3 linked regions of the Arabidopsis thaliana genome follow. The protein of the gene in region 2 interacts with the protein of the main gene of each other region in a pairwise test. Each region holds a gene or a part of one and is shown on either strand. Other genes may lie near its edges.

The links.
Region 1: the proteins of EMB1968 (region 2) and NPR3 interact in binary tests that used the Arabidopsis thaliana proteins (3 or more experiments, as listed by UniProt).
Region 3: the proteins of EMB1968 (region 2) and DSPTP1 interact in binary tests that used the Arabidopsis thaliana proteins (3 or more experiments, as listed by UniProt).

What each region holds. Positions count from the first base shown.
Region 1 is NC_003076.8:18,226,166-18,232,284, forward strand, and holds NPR3 (NPR1-like protein 3), read left to right. Parts: upstream 1-2,602; 5' UTR 2,603-3,153; coding exon 3,154-3,687; intron 3,688-3,775; coding exon 3,776-4,526; intron 4,527-4,600; coding exon 4,601-4,801; coding exon of another isoform or gene 4,802-4,866; exon of another isoform or gene 4,867-4,894; coding exon 4,895-5,169; 3' UTR 5,170-5,413; downstream 5,414-6,119. Other genes in the region: AT5G45113 (mitochondrial transcription termination factor-related / mTERF-like protein), read right to left, coding at 6,112-6,119. UniProt on the Arabidopsis thaliana protein: Salicylic acid (SA)-binding substrate-specific adapter of an E3 ubiquitin-protein ligase complex (CUL3-RBX1-BTB) which mediates the ubiquitination and subsequent proteasomal degradation of NPR1 in response to SA.
Region 2 is NC_003070.9:7,613,224-7,619,358, reverse strand, and holds EMB1968 (ATPase family associated with various cellular activities (AAA)), read right to left. Parts: upstream 3,746-6,135; 5' UTR 3,685-3,745; coding exon 3,641-3,684; intron 3,555-3,640; coding exon 3,476-3,554; intron 3,332-3,475; coding exon 3,252-3,331; intron 2,756-3,251; coding exon 2,633-2,755; intron 2,544-2,632; coding exon 2,474-2,543; intron 2,393-2,473; coding exon 2,319-2,392; intron 2,118-2,318; coding exon 1,997-2,117; intron 1,919-1,996; coding exon 1,856-1,918; intron 1,771-1,855; coding exon 1,711-1,770; intron 1,612-1,710; coding exon 1,486-1,611; intron 1,403-1,485; coding exon 1,316-1,402; intron 1,090-1,315; coding exon of another isoform or gene 1,037-1,089; coding exon 938-1,036; 3' UTR 793-937; downstream 1-792. Other genes in the region: AT1G21695 (hydroxyproline-rich glycoprotein family protein), read right to left, coding at 1-227; AT1G21680 (DPP6 N-terminal domain-like protein), read right to left, coding at 4,211-6,135. UniProt on the Arabidopsis thaliana protein: May be involved in DNA replication and thus regulate cell proliferation.
Region 3 is NC_003074.8:8,475,996-8,481,047, forward strand, and holds DSPTP1 (dual specificity protein phosphatase 1), read left to right. Parts: upstream 1-2,126; 5' UTR 2,127-2,284; coding exon 2,285-2,286; intron 2,287-2,521; coding exon 2,522-2,687; intron 2,688-2,787; coding exon 2,788-2,923; intron 2,924-3,026; coding exon 3,027-3,147; coding exon of another isoform or gene 3,148-3,178; exon of another isoform or gene 3,179-3,258; coding exon 3,259-3,404; coding exon of another isoform or gene 3,405-3,448; exon of another isoform or gene 3,449-3,497; coding exon of another isoform or gene 3,498-3,526; exon of another isoform or gene 3,527-3,540; coding exon 3,541-3,656; 3' UTR 3,657-3,846; downstream 3,847-5,052. Other genes in the region: AT3G23605 (Ubiquitin-like superfamily protein), read left to right, coding at 680-1,138; AT3G23620 (Ribosomal RNA processing Brix domain protein), read left to right, coding at 4,152-4,220, 4,409-4,612, 4,919-5,052. UniProt on the Arabidopsis thaliana protein: Has a dual specificity toward Ser/Thr and Tyr-containing proteins. Dephosphorylates MPK4 in vitro.

The sequences.
Region 1 (6,119 bases), on a different chromosome or scaffold from region 2:
TTATTGACAAGTAGCTGCGGTTTATTCCTACCAAATTGTTGGTTCTTTACAAAGAAAATAGTTTGTTCAAAACTCTGTATGCCTTTTATTTTTACTTTATTTATGCAAACCTTTTCACATAGAGTATTTTGACACGATTAAAAAACATTGTTGTATATGACCCGGTCCAAGCCACGCCAAGTCTCTTTTAATACACGAAAACTCAAATATCAAAGGTGGAAACGCATGTTATATAAACTTTTTTAATTGATATTATATCAAATTATTCGATATTATAAAAAAATTACATAAGGAGACTTTGTATGATAAACCATATATTCCGCGTAGCTTCTCAGCAGGAACTAGGAAGCATCACCGACACTGACACACCACCCCATTGGATCGATGCTTCAATTTTTATTTCCAGTAATACATTTACATGAGTCATCAAGGTTGTTTTCTCTTCCAAAATATAAAAAAGTTCATCATATACAGGTTCATACATTTTAGATGCTTTGGGACAAATTTAAAAGATATATTCCTTAATATCATAATTTTTTTATATACTTCTTCTTTTAACAAAAACATTAGGTGCCTTTTGAGTATATACAAAAAACAAATTGTGTCCATCTTGTATAGATTTTTTTTTTTGTGCCCTATAAATTTATGTATATGTAGTTATGTACCCTATAAGTTTATATTATCGGCCCCTATAGTTAAGCCGGCATTGACTATATATTTTTATGGAAAATTTAAGAGTTTTCTTTTTGTTTTGTTATTTTTCTTTTTAATTGTTTCATCAAGTTAAGTTTCGTTTCCAATTCCTCTTAGAATGATTTTTATCTCTTGTGTTAGGTCACGCTTTACTAGTTTACACTCCTCTTTAGAATGATTTATCTCTTGTATGAGTTTTGTTTTTGTCTTTTTGTTAAGAATTTAAATATTCCACTAAAATGAAAAGTGTTAGGATTTTCATGAAGTAAAGCCTGAAGTTTTTGGTCTTATGGCAAAAAAAGAAAAAAACATGAAAACAAAAGAAATCAATCCATTGACATCAACAAAACAAATTACGTTTTTGAGTCATAAAGTGATATAACAATTTTGAATAACTACCAATATATATGTCCTCAATCTTGTGTGAGTTCAAGGCTTTATGGGTTACATCGTTATACTTAGTTTATGTAAGAAATTTGTAAATTTGAATGGGTTAAAACTTCTGATCTAAATAACGAATTGGTAGGAAACTTTTTTTTGTCTTGTTAATATTTGATGGTTTTAGCCAAAGTAATACATAAAATAATTATTTAGTGACCAAAACTTATCGCATATTTGATGATTTAAGCCATAGTAATATGATTTGTATTAGTGACGTTGATGGTTTAATATATGATTTAGTGATACTTAGTGAACGAAAGATACAAATTAACATATGGTTTACCAAAGTAACGCAGCGTCACTAGTGACCAAAACTTAGCGTATATTTGATAGTTTAAGTCAAAGTAATATACTAATATGATTTGTATTAGTGACGTTGCATTGTCACTATCCAAGTTTACACTTATATGTTATTTTTTGTTAAAAATATATATTTATAGTTAGAATTCTATATTCGATAGCATTACCGAAAGTCGAAAATTTAATCATAGGAATCATTGCCAATCGAAATAATGCTAATTAAATTTTATTTCATATAAAAATTTGATGAATAAACTATTCAACGACTATCCTTAAAGAGTTTTTTTTTTTTTAATAGTCAGCTAACGCATTTCACCGATTGTATTTGTAGCCTTGTAGGTAGAGTCGAATTTCCGACGCGACTAGAATGCTAGCATAAGAGACTTCACCACTTTGTTACGAAGCCAAGAATCTTCTTGTTTTAAAAAAAAAAATCAAGACAAAATTGTCGTCCCTCATATCTATATTCAATTCATTTCAAAACGTTATTTATGTCTTAAAATTTGGAACTAGGCCACAAAGAATGACTTTGGTCATCACAAAATTATAAATTTAATAAAAATTTGGACCACTATAGGCATAGCTATTGCCTATTATAATCTCTACTATTACTTTATGATTTATCTACTATTCCGAAAGTGTAATTGTTTAATACGTCATCACATTGCAGCAATCCACACACAAGCCACGTCATTCATATGCCGTTCGTATTTGCTTTCGTCACTTCCTTCCGTCATCAATAGTGACGGCTATTTCTTAATATTAATCTTCTTGACTTAATGCTATTTCGTGACGGCATTAATTGGCATATCATTACAAGTTATTTACACCTAAGAAACAAATTAAAACTATTGAATAATATGATGTAAATAAAAATATATTAATGATGTGATATATCGCAGTCAAATAAAAATAGTGATTTTGATGAGAAAAAAAATATGTGTTTATCCATAGATTTGTTAAATTAGAGAAAGATGTGGAAAATGTTAGTGAGTGGCGTCATACACGGAGAACCTTTGGCATCATACACGGATTTTTCTAGTCTTTGTTTTCTATTTGTCAACTTTCATTTGAGTCTTTCTTTATACACTTTATTAGACCATGTTTTTAATTCTAATGCTTATTAATTCATATTATTAAATTTACAAAAAAAACTATTATATTAACTCTCTTGTTTCCTCTGTATCTTCCTTCACATTGAAGCTGTCTCTTTCTTTCACCATCACTTGCACCTGTTGTGTCCTGTTTGTTCTCAATTTCATCATCATTTATCCTTTATATACCTCTCTTTCTTTCTTGACTTTTCCTCTAAATTCTCTTCCTTTTTATCTCTTTGATACATCTCAATTTGGTTCTTTTGCCTTCTCTTTGATCTTATCTCTTACGATTGTGCAGATCTCAATCTCTATATCCTTGGTTGTGTCAGATTCTCTTAGGGTTTATTTTCTCTCCCAATTTTGTTTGATTCCTTGTCCAAAGTTTCTTCCTTTCCTTTTGACTTTTTTTTGTGGTACATTGAATCAGAGGTGTAAGAGTAATAGTTTCATAACTCAAATCCCCAAGTGTACAAATTTTCCTCTTTTGGTTCTGGGTTTGGTTGATTCCTTGTTAGAAATGTAAATTTAGGGCTTTTGTATCTGAAACCGATCTTCAGACTTGTGTAATCTTCTTGATCTTCATGCAAGATTGATAATTCTACAAGAAGAAGAAGAAGAGAAAATGGCTACTTTGACTGAGCCATCATCATCTTTGAGTTTCACATCTTCTCATTTCTCTTATGGTTCTATTGGGTCCAATCACTTCTCATCAAGCTCAGCTTCTAATCCTGAAGTTGTTAGTCTAACCAAACTCAGCTCCAATCTTGAGCAGCTTCTTAGTAATTCAGATTGTGATTACAGTGATGCAGAGATCATTGTTGATGGTGTTCCAGTTGGTGTTCATAGATGCATTTTAGCTGCAAGAAGTAAGTTTTTCCAAGATTTGTTTAAGAAAGAAAAGAAAATTTCGAAAACTGAGAAACCAAAGTATCAGTTGAGAGAGATGTTACCTTATGGAGCTGTTGCTCATGAAGCTTTCTTGTATTTCTTGAGTTATATATATACTGGGAGATTAAAGCCTTTTCCATTGGAGGTTTCGACTTGTGTTGATCCAGTTTGTTCTCATGATTGTTGTCGACCTGCCATTGATTTTGTTGTTCAATTGATGTATGCTTCCTCTGTTCTCCAAGTGCCTGAGCTAGTTTCATCTTTTCAGGTGTGTGAAAAGTCTTCTTTTTTCTTCGGTCTCTTTGTTTCTTAATTCATAGACCTCAATGAGAACTAAAAGGTTTGTGTGCTTGCAGCGGCGGCTTTGTAACTTTGTGGAGAAGACCCTTGTTGAGAATGTTCTTCCCATTCTTATGGTTGCTTTCAATTGTAAGTTGACTCAGCTTCTTGATCAGTGTATTGAGAGAGTGGCGAGGTCAGATCTTTACAGGTTCTGTATTGAAAAGGAAGTTCCTCCCGAAGTAGCAGAGAAGATTAAACAGCTTCGACTTATATCCCCGCAAGACGAAGAAACCAGTCCCAAGATTTCGGAGAAATTGCTTGAAAGAATCGGTAAAATTCTCAAGGCCTTGGATTCAGATGATGTTGAGCTTGTGAAGCTTCTTTTGACTGAGTCAGATATCACTCTAGATCAAGCCAATGGTCTGCATTATTCTGTTGTGTATAGTGATCCGAAAGTTGTTGCCGAGATTCTTGCTCTGGATATGGGTGATGTGAACTACAGGAATTCCCGGGGTTACACGGTTCTTCATTTTGCTGCGATGCGTAGAGAGCCATCGATCATTATATCGCTTATCGATAAAGGCGCCAATGCATCTGAGTTTACATCTGACGGACGTAGCGCAGTTAATATATTAAGAAGACTGACAAATCCAAAGGATTATCATACCAAAACAGCTAAAGGGCGTGAATCTAGTAAAGCCAGGTTATGCATCGATATCTTGGAAAGAGAAATCAGGAAGAACCCCATGGTTCTAGATACACCAATGTGTTCCATTTCTATGCCTGAAGATCTCCAGATGAGACTGTTGTACCTAGAAAAGAGAGGTAATTGACTGAAAATTACTGAATTCTTCTGTATCTTTACTACATTTTTGTTAAAGCTTCTACCTTTTTTGCAGTGGGGCTTGCTCAGTTGTTCTTTCCAACGGAAGCTAAAGTTGCTATGGACATTGGTAACGTAGAAGGTACAAGTGAGTTCACGGGTTTGTCACCTCCTTCGAGTGGGTTAACCGGAAACTTGAGTCAGGTTGATTTAAACGAAACTCCTCATATGCAAACCCAAAGACTTCTTACTCGTATGGTGGCTCTAATGAAAACAGGTAACAAAAAGCTTGCTCTCTGTAAGTCTACCCTTCATCTTCTTATGTTGCTCATTTTCTCTTGACTGACTTCATTACCGTTTCACAATGCAGTTGAGACTGGTCGAAGGTTTTTTCCATATGGTTCAGAGGTTCTAGATAAGTACATGGCTGAGTATATAGACGACGACATCCTCGACGATTTCCATTTTGAGAAGGGATCTACACATGAAAGAAGATTGAAAAGAATGAGATATAGAGAGCTTAAGGATGATGTCCAAAAGGCATATAGCAAAGACAAAGAGTCTAAGATTGCGCGGTCTTGTCTTTCTGCTTCATCTTCTCCTTCTTCTTCTTCCATAAGAGATGACCTGCACAACACAACATGAAACTGCACCATAAGTCAAATGTAATTAGATATCTTTGTTAAAAGGGTTTTTTCTTTATGGATGTTACTCAGATTTTATACAGATGCTTTAGGTTCAGTTTCAATAAAGAGAGATGGATAGATAGATGTACAAGATTAGGAGTGCTGATTAACCCAAAACGTTCTAACTATACGCAATCTTTTGTTTTCAATACAAAAATCTAATATTTAGGTTATCTACAAGATATTCTCAGATACCTGAAACTTAAACAAACAAAGACACTCCACAAAAAGTCAGGAAAAAACATGATCATTTGTCAATCATAGCTATCTCTTTACATAATTACAGAAGATAAGACTACTGGTGGCTAAGAGTAAAGAACAAAAACCATTCTTCCAAACAACCTGTAATAATGCATTCTGAACAGAACTGTCACATGTATGTCCCAGTAAGTAGATGTTAGCTGCTCTCTTTGGCATAGGGTCGGGGCAGGGGCTTGTCTGACCAATACTGTCTATCTGTCTTCTTCAACAAAGAAAGCATTTCAAGTTGCATTATATGTTAAGTGTGCCTTTCCAACATCGTAAAGCAATAGAAGAATATTGTACCAACGAAGGACTGTGCCTTTCCAATTTGTCACTCTGTTCAGTCCAGTCTAAAATTCACTTCACTGAGTTCAGTGGCGTTTCAACATTACGGAGAGCCTTTGTTCTTTCAGCTTTCTCGAAGTCCTTCCTTGTTCGTTTGTTGGCATCTATATCTATACTGATGAGTAGAGAGGTACAATCAAATCCACAGGCGGAAATACTTCACTATGCATCGACATATTCTGTGATCCTCTCCATCGCACTGAGAATTTCCAGGTTTCACTGGTTGTGAGCTAAGCAATGAGAAAATGTTATAGATCAACAGACATCTGCACTAGATTGAAGATAACGTTATATCATTGAACGGACCAGTTAATCAGGTAG
Region 2 (6,135 bases):
ACTGGTCGGCTTCTGGATTCAGAGAAGAAAGAAGAAGAAGACGACGGAGATGGCGAATTCGACGGCGGAGTTGATTTTAATTTGAGAGGAGGAAGTTTGTTAGGAGGAGGTGGTTGAAGAAGAGCTGGATCATCATCACCGGGTCGGGTTTTAGGTACACCGGGTCGGATCTCCCACTTAAAAGGCACAGCTCCGGGTCTCTTGAAAGAATCGTCACCATCGACCATTAGGTAAAAGTAAACAAAAGCGTTTCTGTCTTGATCAAATTAAGATTCATAAGGATTCTACTAATAAGAAACTACTTATAGATTTAGATTAGATCAATTATTTTTAGAACGTATCCAGATTTATGACAGTTTTATGTGAAGACTATAACATTCAACGAATTTTGTGTCTTGACAGCATTTTTATTTATTTATGGCATTACTAATGTTTTCTATAGTTTGGATGTGTATCCGAATCTTCCTTTTATGTGGATATGTATATTAATCCTCTTGTATTTTATTACATTTTCGTAGGATTTTACTATTTTGATTATTAGAGGTAATAAATAGAAAAATATAATTATATAAATCTACTATATTTTTTATTTTTATATTTACATTTTGGGATCTACACTGTATATATATCCAACTAGTAAAGAAACACATTACTCCTTTTACGGTGTCAATATTGGATATAGATAAAGGGATTCACTAATTCTTACAACAGAAGCAATGTCCATCAAGCTATCTGGTCATGATTTTGTTGGTTATAAGAGATGTTAATTATTTTGATTCGATCATGTATTTCACATTGTAATGATATTTAATGATCTTACCCACAAAACAAATAGACTTAAGTAATGATGCAATAAATATATCTAATAGTTTTTCTTAAAACAATAACAGATAAGTAACCAGTAAAACGTCATAACGCTCCAACTTTTTATCAAAACCTACACTATGATAGTCTCATAAGTCTTAAGGCACAGGTCCAATTCAAGCAGAATTTGCATTAGAAGTCTTGAGCCATTTCTGAGAGGGCACAAATTGTACTGCTTGCCACATCCAGAAGCTGCAAGTACTCATCCGCCCCGTCTACAAGTCGCTGGATACATTAAAAATAAAAGATGTGAGATATTTTATTATCACTAGAGGTAACAGAGACATCCTTAGCAAGATTGCAACATATCTACAGATTCAAATGGCAAAAATCTAAGATGTGAACTTCACTCAAAACCCGTAATATAATTGAGTCAAGATGTTGGTAATTGATCTCACTTGAGGCTCTAAAAGAGACACAAGTAAGGAAAATTAGTACGGGAAAGTCTTACCTTATCAGTTTCAGCTAAACATTTGCAGATCTTAGCCTTTTGCATGTCTGTTATGTCACTGTCAGCCTCCGCAACTATATCGAATAGCTGAAAGAGTGTTGTATAGAAGGGGTTATAGCCACAGTTGCATGACTTAAATGGGGTAAAAATAAGAGAGGAAAATAGAAAACCTGATTGATGATTTGAGATGCAGGATATCCTTCTGCAACTATGTTATCCACTTCCTTGTTTGCAATATCGAAATCACCACTTTTGCATGCAGTAAAAAGTTTATTGACTACCTCTAGAGGAACTACCTGATAGATTCGTTAGACATCCATATTAAACATCAGCAAGTCTGACATGGCTGAACCTACCATACACTTATGCAAATATTGGGTTAACTTCATCCTTACCCCAGACACATTGAGTAAATCTGTAGAAGTTATTGTTGATCCAAACAACCGAGTAGCACTCTGCAATATTCAGGTAGAAAGAGTGTTTCACATTTCTATGGTCGATTTCGTCTAGTAACAAATATTTCAGATAGTTTTATCTTACCTGCAGATATGTGATGGCCCTACGGAGATCACCTTGTGATATGGAGCTCAAAGTTGAAAGAGCCTGAATAGGAAACGGCTACAATAATCAGCTTTCACAAAACTAAAATAATACGGAAAACATTGAAGCATTTGCTCATACCTCTCCATCAAGGCTGAGACCTTCTTCATTACAAATATGCAATATACGGTTACTCATGACTTCTTCGGAAAGTGGTTTAAACCTGAACTTCGCACACCTGGAAGCAAGGGGCTCTATGATCCTACAGAACAAGAGATCAAAGTTTGTAAGGGTGATCAAAATCAGTAGGTTCATAGTTCAGCAAGTAGCTCACTATGAGCATGTTCCAAAATATAACAAAAGTATAAACGAAAAAGCAATCATTTTCAATAACCAGAGAGAAAATTGGAGAACAAATGAGAACAGAAGGAAAAAAAATAAAAGGCTGTTGTGACAGAATTACCTGCTGATGTAATTACATATGAAAAAGAATCTGGTGACTTTGGAGTAAGTTTCCATTGTGCGCCTCAAGGCATTCTGGACAGTCAATAAAATAGCTCATGGTAAACACATATCAAACGTACAAATGCGGTAGTGAATAATAGATGTTCAACGTACCTGAGCATCTTCTGTCATCGAATCAGCCTCATCTAGGATGATGATCTTAAACGATGGGCAAGGATAACCACTGAAGTATCAAATCGAAGGTCTTAGATGAAATGCAGAAACGAGAAAATGACCCCAAAAAAAAAAAAAACTTAATAAAAAGTACGACACCTTTGACGATGATTAGACCCAACAGCAACAGCAGCAAAATCCTTGATCTTAGTCCGAACAACATTAATACCTCTGTCATCACTTGCATTAAGCTCCAACACCCTAGACTTGTATAGTTCAGGTCTGTAAACACTCTATAGTTAGTTCACATGCCCATTGTAAAAATCCACATAATATAGCAAAATGAAATAACAAAACAAGGCCAGGCTCATGAAAATAAATCTGTGATTATTACTCTCAAAAGAAGCTGAAACCGACTCATATGGGACGACACCCATGGAGGCAATGGAAAGAAGAACAAGACAATTCAGCTTCAAAAACTAACCACTTACATAGAAAAATCATAATGATTACTATTCCTATGAATTCACATCTTGGTATACTGTCTAGCTACCTAATGGGAGAAGTTGGTATATCATTATGCAACCACAGAGTCTGAGTGTGCATATTATATCAGCTTCTACATAAAAAAAAAAAAAAACCGAGTTATTTGAATCACAAATCTGAATGTATCATATTAGAGATCACAAGGTCTCATACAAACTAAGTACACACAAATGAATCAATCAAAAAGTCATCCGAATTTCAGCTATCACAAATTATCAAATGAATACGTTACCCAAAGAGCTGGTGAGCGATGGCAAGAGCAGTAGTGGTTTTTCCAGTGCCTGGTGGTCCATAGAAGAGCATGTGCGGGCACTACAACAGAGAGACAAACAAAAAATTAAAACCCAGAATTGAGAACCAAATTCGACATCTAGGGTTTTTCACACTTGTACAAAATCAGATTTTAATAATTAGGGATTTGTTTCGCGATAAACAAAGAGGTTATAGTGAAATTACGTCAGCAGTCTGGAGAGTGTTGGTGAGGACACGAACCACCTCTTCCTGGTGAGCCACGTCCTTAACCTGCTTCGGCCGGCTAGATCCAAATCGGAAACAATGAGTTTATTAAACCCCACATAAATTCCGTCAACGAAATAAAAAATCAGTGAGAAGAAATCGTACTATTTCTCAACCCATGGCTGTGAGCTCTGAAGAACTGGCGCCATTCCTCTCTCTTCTTCGCCTCTTTTTTCTTCTAATTTTTCTCCGGTGACGGAGAGACTCCTTTATAAACATTATCCGACGTTTTCTGGATTTTCCCGCCCCCGCCTCAAACCTTCCAAGTCACGAAGAGGGTTTGATATCTTATCGACTGTTATGACTTTTGACTCGCACCTAATTCTTCAGACATTACATGGATAGTAATCTTCTGACACGTACGCAAAACATAGTAATAATGTATCAAAACTGATTTATAAACGTGATTAAAGAAGAGATTTTGGAATTTAAAAACCTGTCTTCAATCACGCTGAGATTGAATTGACATTGGATAATTCATGAGGATTCCAAACCGCAATAGCAAGACTATCATTTAGAAGAGGGTTTGATATCTTATCACGACTGTTTTGACAATATGATATACATATCACATTAACGATCTCTATAATACAAAGTCTTATGCATATACAGTGGCAGTCTCATACAAATCTATAAGTAGAGTTACAAGCTGGGATACAAAACTGTAGATACATATTAACAAGATATTTTTCGGCCTTTTAGTGTAGGGTACTTGTTGAGCCAGTGACAGTCTTCGAACGAGCACCTAGAATCATTCCTCCTTTGTAGCTCCACATTGTTGGGGTGGATGAACCGAGGGGCCCATGCCGGTGTCCCATCTTCATAAGAGTTATGCGTTAGCCTCCTCACATTAGAGCCATCTAATTTCACCGTGAAGATATCACCGTATGGCTGGTAATGATGCGGGTTCGAGATCGGTTCCGCCGAGATTCCAGCATAATCAGAAGTGAAGACTAATGATTTACTGTCCGGGCTGAAGATCGGGTGGTTTGTTCTCCCACCCGTCCCGCTTTGGATGAGCTTCCTTAACCCTGTTCCGTTGGGGTGGATCAAGAAGAGCTCAAAACTACCCGAGCCAGGGCTTTCTCGATCTGATGCAAACGCGATCCATTCCCCATCCGGTGACCAGTTACACATTGTGTCGGTCCACGCACCTTCGGTTAACCTCCATAGACCACCGCTTTCTCCTTTCTCAGCATCCATTATGTAGAGGTTTTTGTGACCAGTCCGCCCCGAACGAAACACTATCCGCTTACCATCAGGAGATGGCCAAGGGAAAGCATTGTTCTTCCCGTTTGTCGTTAGCCTCCTCACGGAAGATGACTTATCGGCTGCATCAACGTCAATAGAGATAACATCAACCTCTGTTCTCTCTGTAGCAAACGTTGGACCTGAGCTAGAGTACACAATTCCAGGTCGAACCGGATCCCAAGCTGTCGAAAACGCCATTCCCTTGTACACTTCACGCTGCCCTGAACCATCCGGCTTCACCACAAACACACCAGGCATCTTAACGTATGCGATACGATCACCTCCAGGTGAGAACGAAGGAAACGAACCATCAATTCTAAAGAGAGAGAGGTCCCTTGTAGTGGTTTGAATATTTTCAAGGAAGAGCAGAGGACTTCTCCGTCCATTAGCATCGCCTCTACAACTATGATATCCGACTCGAGACGAGTCAGGGGACAAGAATGGATTCAAGTGATGACTCTTTGGCGCCACCAAACGAGTCAACTCTATAAACTCATTCCTCTTTAGATCAAACAACTCCACGTGGCGGTAATCCGAGCCTGGTCTCCTTGTAGCTACCGCAACGAACTCGTGGTTGTTTGGTGACGTGGCCGGTGTGAAAGCGTGAACTCCCGGTGGTGTGACTCGCTGAATTGTCACCGACTCAGTAGTCAACGGTCCGTTTTCAGGTAAGATGGCTCGGTAAACGCTGATCCAACCATCCTCCTCACTTCTTCTATGGAAATACAGAGTCGACTCATCAACCCAACACGGCCAACCACCGTGCTCCACCACCTTGACACGGTGAGACCCATCCCGAGTCAAGAATACATAGATGTCCGTACGTAGCTCTTCAACTTCCCCTGTCCAGCCTCTCTCTCCGTATGAAGCCACAGCCGTTAAATTTCCGGAAGGCGATACCGCCGGGCTGAAATCAGCTACACCACTCGGTGTTAACCGCCTGGTTAACCCGGTTTTTAACTCGGTAGAGTAAACGGCGGTCCAGCTTGCTCTCGGCTCACCTGAGCTCTCATGGGTTGACACGTAGACAATAAACTCACCACTCAAACTAGGCTTATCTTTAAAAGAATTTACCGTCATGCCACTCAGATGATCAAAGCGGGATAACAACGGAACTTGGACTCGAGACGGTGCTTCTAACACCGATCTTCGTTTCGTTTTAAAATCAGAATTACCGCCGTAAACTAGATCGTAGTACAAGCTAGAAGTACCGTTTCTCTCGGTGACGTATATGAGATGCAGAGGAGACGAATCTTCCATTTGAATTAGGGTTTCGTCGGGAAGGAGAGATAATAGAGCCGGAGAAGGAGACGGGAAATAGCCGTTGAAATTTACCGATTCCCCATCGG
Region 3 (5,052 bases), on a different chromosome or scaffold from region 2:
TAGTCAAAACGCAAAATTATTGATTGTTGAGACTTGAGACCTTGAGTAATTTTTTTTTTTTTGGGTCAAATGAGAGTAATTTATAAGAGTCAAAATCATTACATGAAAATGATTTAAGAGAGTTTGTCCACACACAAAAACCTAAAAAAAAGAAAACTAGTAATTGACAAAATTATACGATAAATTTATTGTATAAGAAATTGATCCATATATTATTTATATTGTTGCTTAAAAATCGTGCAAAAATGTGGACAGAAAAAAAAAACTTGCCAAAACAAGAAGATATTGCTCAAGAAAGTCACTAGGTTCTTTAGAGAAATCAAATAAAATCTCAATTCATAATCAATGTAGATTTCTCATAATTAAATTTGTATTACAAACTTACAATTATCAAAAACAAAATCTGTAATTACACAAAAAAAAAAAAGGAAAATAGAAACAAAAAAAAATCCGCAGAATATCTCCAAAAATCAATTCTACTAACACAAAAACAATAATACTAATAAATCTATTTTTCTATTTTCAAGGAAAAGGAAACAAACCTTTATAGCTCCTCTCTATCGTCTCGTCTCTATAAATAAACGAGAAGCTCACAAATTCCACAAAAATCCACTCTAACTATGAAACAATTAGGGTTTTGAAATTTACCTAAATCTCTCCGTAATCATCGATCAAAACGATGCTCGAGTGTCAATCAATGATGGAGAAATTATCACCGTTCGTAGACGTCGCCTCTCTGGAAATCGAGTCTCTGCGAAGAATCAAACGCCCGAAACGCTTCTCTGAAGAAGAATCAGAAGAAACCGAGAATACGACGAATTCATCAAACGCGGTATTCGGATTCCCTAACTTACCAGAAGAACCGAATCGCGATATGGATCAAAGCGTTTTGTGCAGAATCTGCGTTCGATTACCAGATGGGAGAAGAATACAGAGAAGTTTCTTAAAGAGTGAATCTGTTCAGCTTCTTTGGTCGTTTTGTTATTCGCAGATTGGTGATGAATCTTCTGAGAGAAAGCGGCGTTTTAAATTGATTCAAGGGTTTCCTGGGGATTATAAGAATCTTTATTTTGGATCTAATACTACTTTTGAACAATCTGGGCTTGCTAATTCCTTGGTTTCTGTTACTTGGCTCTGAAGAATCTTCTTTCGATCTGTAATTAGAAAAATAATTTCTTTCTTCTACCAAGTTTATGTTTACTCAATTTCTCGAATTTGTACTTGGAAATTGCAAATTTCATTTGGTTTTCTTGAATCGTTGTTAGATATTTCCGATCAAATCGTTTTTAGATAACACTGTTTCAAAGTCAATGTCGTCATCATCATACAAGAAGAACGTATAGTTTTTGGTTTATCTTTTTGTTGCTTCTTAAGTCACTCTTTCTCGCATAGTTTTTGAGGTGACGAAGTTACGTATACGGTGACGTAGCAAACCAAGCCCATAAGCCCAAATTCTAAACAAGCCTAAGACAAGTGAGCAAGGAGTGGGTAAACCAAACCATACCAAAATGAAACCGACAAACTCGTCGATATGTGCCAGGACCGGGCTTAGAGGGTGTGCTGAGGGTACATTTGTACATTGTCCATTACTTTTTAGTCAGATTTCTTAAAGCAATTAGGGTCCTATTTCTAAACAAGCCTAAGACAGCATCAAGTGAGCAAGGAAGTACTTCATGTTCATGCACAATTTCTAGGAATGGGAAAGACCGTACCAAAATGGAAACCGAGAAACTCGTCGAGACCGGCTTTGATTAGATAGTCTATCGAAGTAAAATATCGAACTTCGATGGACTATATTGAAGTAGATTTGTGCTCTACTGCCCTCGAAAAAAACATTAAAGTAGATTACTACTACGTCATAATAACAAACAGTCTTTAACAACAACATCATCATCACTCGATACATCTCTGCCTCTGTACAGTTTTGCTGACATATTCACAACACCGTTGCCTCAGTTTCAGCCAAGTACACTACTTCTTACTAATCCAGGGGGCCTAATAGCAGGAAACCAAGCCTACAAAGCACAAATCCCAAACACAAATTTTTGAGTATAATATAAGGACTGAGCTAATAAGTTAAAACATTTCTGATTTTTCTGATAGAAAGGAAATTTTACTATTTGGCCCTCTTTGAACACATCCTTCCCTCTCCTCCTCCTCCTTCCCCCAAAAAACCTGGAGAACCATGCAGTTGCAATTTCCTCTTTAACCCATTTCAAAGATTCGTTTTTTTTTTTTTGTAAATCTCTTTCTCCTTTGGCGAATTCGTATTCCTTCTTTTCCAATGTAAGTTCTTCTTCCTTGATAATCGAATTCTTCTTTTGATCTTAAACCAATCACTACTCCGTCGTTGTAATCGTAATTCTCGATTCACCGTTGTTCGGTTATAAGATCATTCATCAGAATCGGATTCCATTATTTCGGTGACCTGGATTTTGATTTTGATTTTGATTCTTGCTGCTATGATCACGATCTTGATATGTAAACTCTCTTCTTCTTTTTTCTGATTCGATGAAATCAGGAGTTCTAGAGACAGAGGATCACCTTCTTCTTCTTCGTCATCTTCTTCGTTACCAGGAATAGAAAAGTATAATGAAAAGGTGAAGAATCAGATACAAGCTCTTGTTCGTGTTATTAAAGTTGCTCGTACCTATAGAGACGACAATGTCCCTTCCCTTATTGAACAGGTTACTACTACTACTAATACTCATAGGTTTTTTCTACCAACCAAATGACCAATGATTCATTATCAAAGATCAAACCTTTTGTTGAATTTGACTTTTTCAGGGTCTTTATCTTGGATCTGTTGCAGCAGCTAGTAATAAGAATGTTTTGAAATCTTACAATGTTACACATATTTTGACTGTTGCTAGTTCGTTGAGACCAGCTCATCCTGATGACTTTGTTTACAAGGTTGTTCGAGGTATAAACTTATTAAAGGTTTCACTTTGTTATCTAGTTGAAGAGAGAATATGTTTTTGATTTTGGGATGGAATTGCTTGTTTGATTGTTTTTCTATGTGATAGTCGTGGATAAGGAAGATACAAATCTAGAAATGTACTTCGATGAGTGTGTTGATTTCATTGATGAAGCCAAGAGACAAGGCGGTAGTGTTCTTGTTCATTGCTTTGTTGGCAAATCACGGAGGTCAGTTTTGTTTGCTTCCTTCAATATCTAGCGGTTTTCGCCTTGTTTGCTGGATAGTATTCAAAACTAAGTACATATTTAGCCTGGATGGTTTGTCCCTTTTACTTGCAGTGTCACTATAGTTGTTGCTTACCTCATGAAGAAACACGGTATGACTTTAGCTCAAGCATTGCAACATGTTAAAAGCAAAAGACCCGTGGCAAGTCCTAATGCTGGTTTCATCAGACAATTACAAGACCTCGAGAAGTCTATGCAAGGTATGCCTTACTATAATATCTTGAGGTCTAGACTATTAGGTTGAGATCTCTGTGGTGAATCTAAGTTGGAGATACTTTGTCTGTCTGATTCAGTAGTGAGTGACCAGTTTTTTTCCTTTTGAGGATGAAAAGCAAGTGGTTGTGGAGGAGAAGACAGTTCCATGTAAATATCTCTTACATGCATCTTCCTTCTTCTCTATAAAACAGGGAAGCAAGTTACGATTGCACAATGTCAGGCGTGAAGATCATTGATCGTACCATTGGGAGAAACTTGTAAATCTCACACGAAGCATCAATCAAAATGTTTTGTTGTTTCTTCTCCTTAACAACTCGAATAATAACATGGAAACGAATTTGGAATATGTTCATGTTCTCTATTCGTTTTGTATAGTTTCATCATCATGGATATAAAAGTGAACATAAATAAAAATTTGTAAATTTTTTGTACCGCAATGAAATGTCTTTTTTGTGTGTAAAAGTTCATGGGCTGTCATTGTTTAATTTGAGCCCGTATAGTTTAAACAGTTCATGGACCTTGTGAAACATTGGGTTTTATAGTCAATAAAAAACTGTGGGGTGATTTAGGACAGACTTATAAGGTTAGGGGTCATATTAGAATTCTCTTAAAGTTGCTTCCAATTGTGAGGAGGCACTAAAACCCTAGACTCCATATCAATCAATCGAAAAACCTTTCTCTCTTCTTTCGGAGCCGTCGCTTGTGAAACTTTCCGGCGATTTAACAGAGTCATGATGGAAATACGAACTCCGAAGACTGGCAAAGCCAAGCGTGTTCTCGAAAGCCGAGCTCCTAAGTTGGTAAAGTTCTCTTCTTTTTCTCCTTCGTCCTTCTTAAAACCGAGAAGTGAATCATGTTGAGAGCTGTCTTCAATGTTGTTTTGACATCTATGAGACTCATGGGTTTTCTATTTGTCGATAAATTTATCAAAGAATCGATTGAAAGTTGCAAACTTTGTATCTGAATTGGTTGTTTTTGGAATTTGTAGGTTGAAACTGGGAAGAAGACGTTGATACTTCATGGAACAAAGACGAGTGCTACACTTAGCTCTGTAATGACGGAACTCTACCGTTTGAAGAAGGGAGGTGCCATCAGATATTCAAGGAGGAATGAGAATATTAGGCCTTTCGAGAGTGGAGGTGAAACTTCATTAGAGTTCTTCTCTCAGAAAACAGATTGTAGCATTTTTGTGGTAAGTTCATAAGCTTTGGCAGCTGTTGCATCTTGGTTTTATGGTGTTGCAACTTTGATTCTCCTCTTAACTTAGCTATGAACTGCTAGATAGAACAAAATGTTATTAAGATGATCTATCCTGTGATCTAGATTCATTCTAAGGCATCTCTGCTTCTGTCTTGTTAGTCTATGTGTATTTATTTATGGTGGAAATTGGTATGATTGGCTGATGTTATCACAGGCCTTAAGAAGTCATTTGGAAAGGTGTATTGGCAAATTAACTTTGATGCGAGTTCTAACATTGGTGATTGTTTTTATATTGCAGTATGGTTCTCACACGAAGAAACGACCTGACAATCTTGTACTTGGGAGAATGTATGATCACCAAGTCTATGATCTTATAGAAGTTGGGATTGAGAACTTTAAATCCTTGCGGGCGTTTTCGTATGACAAGAAATT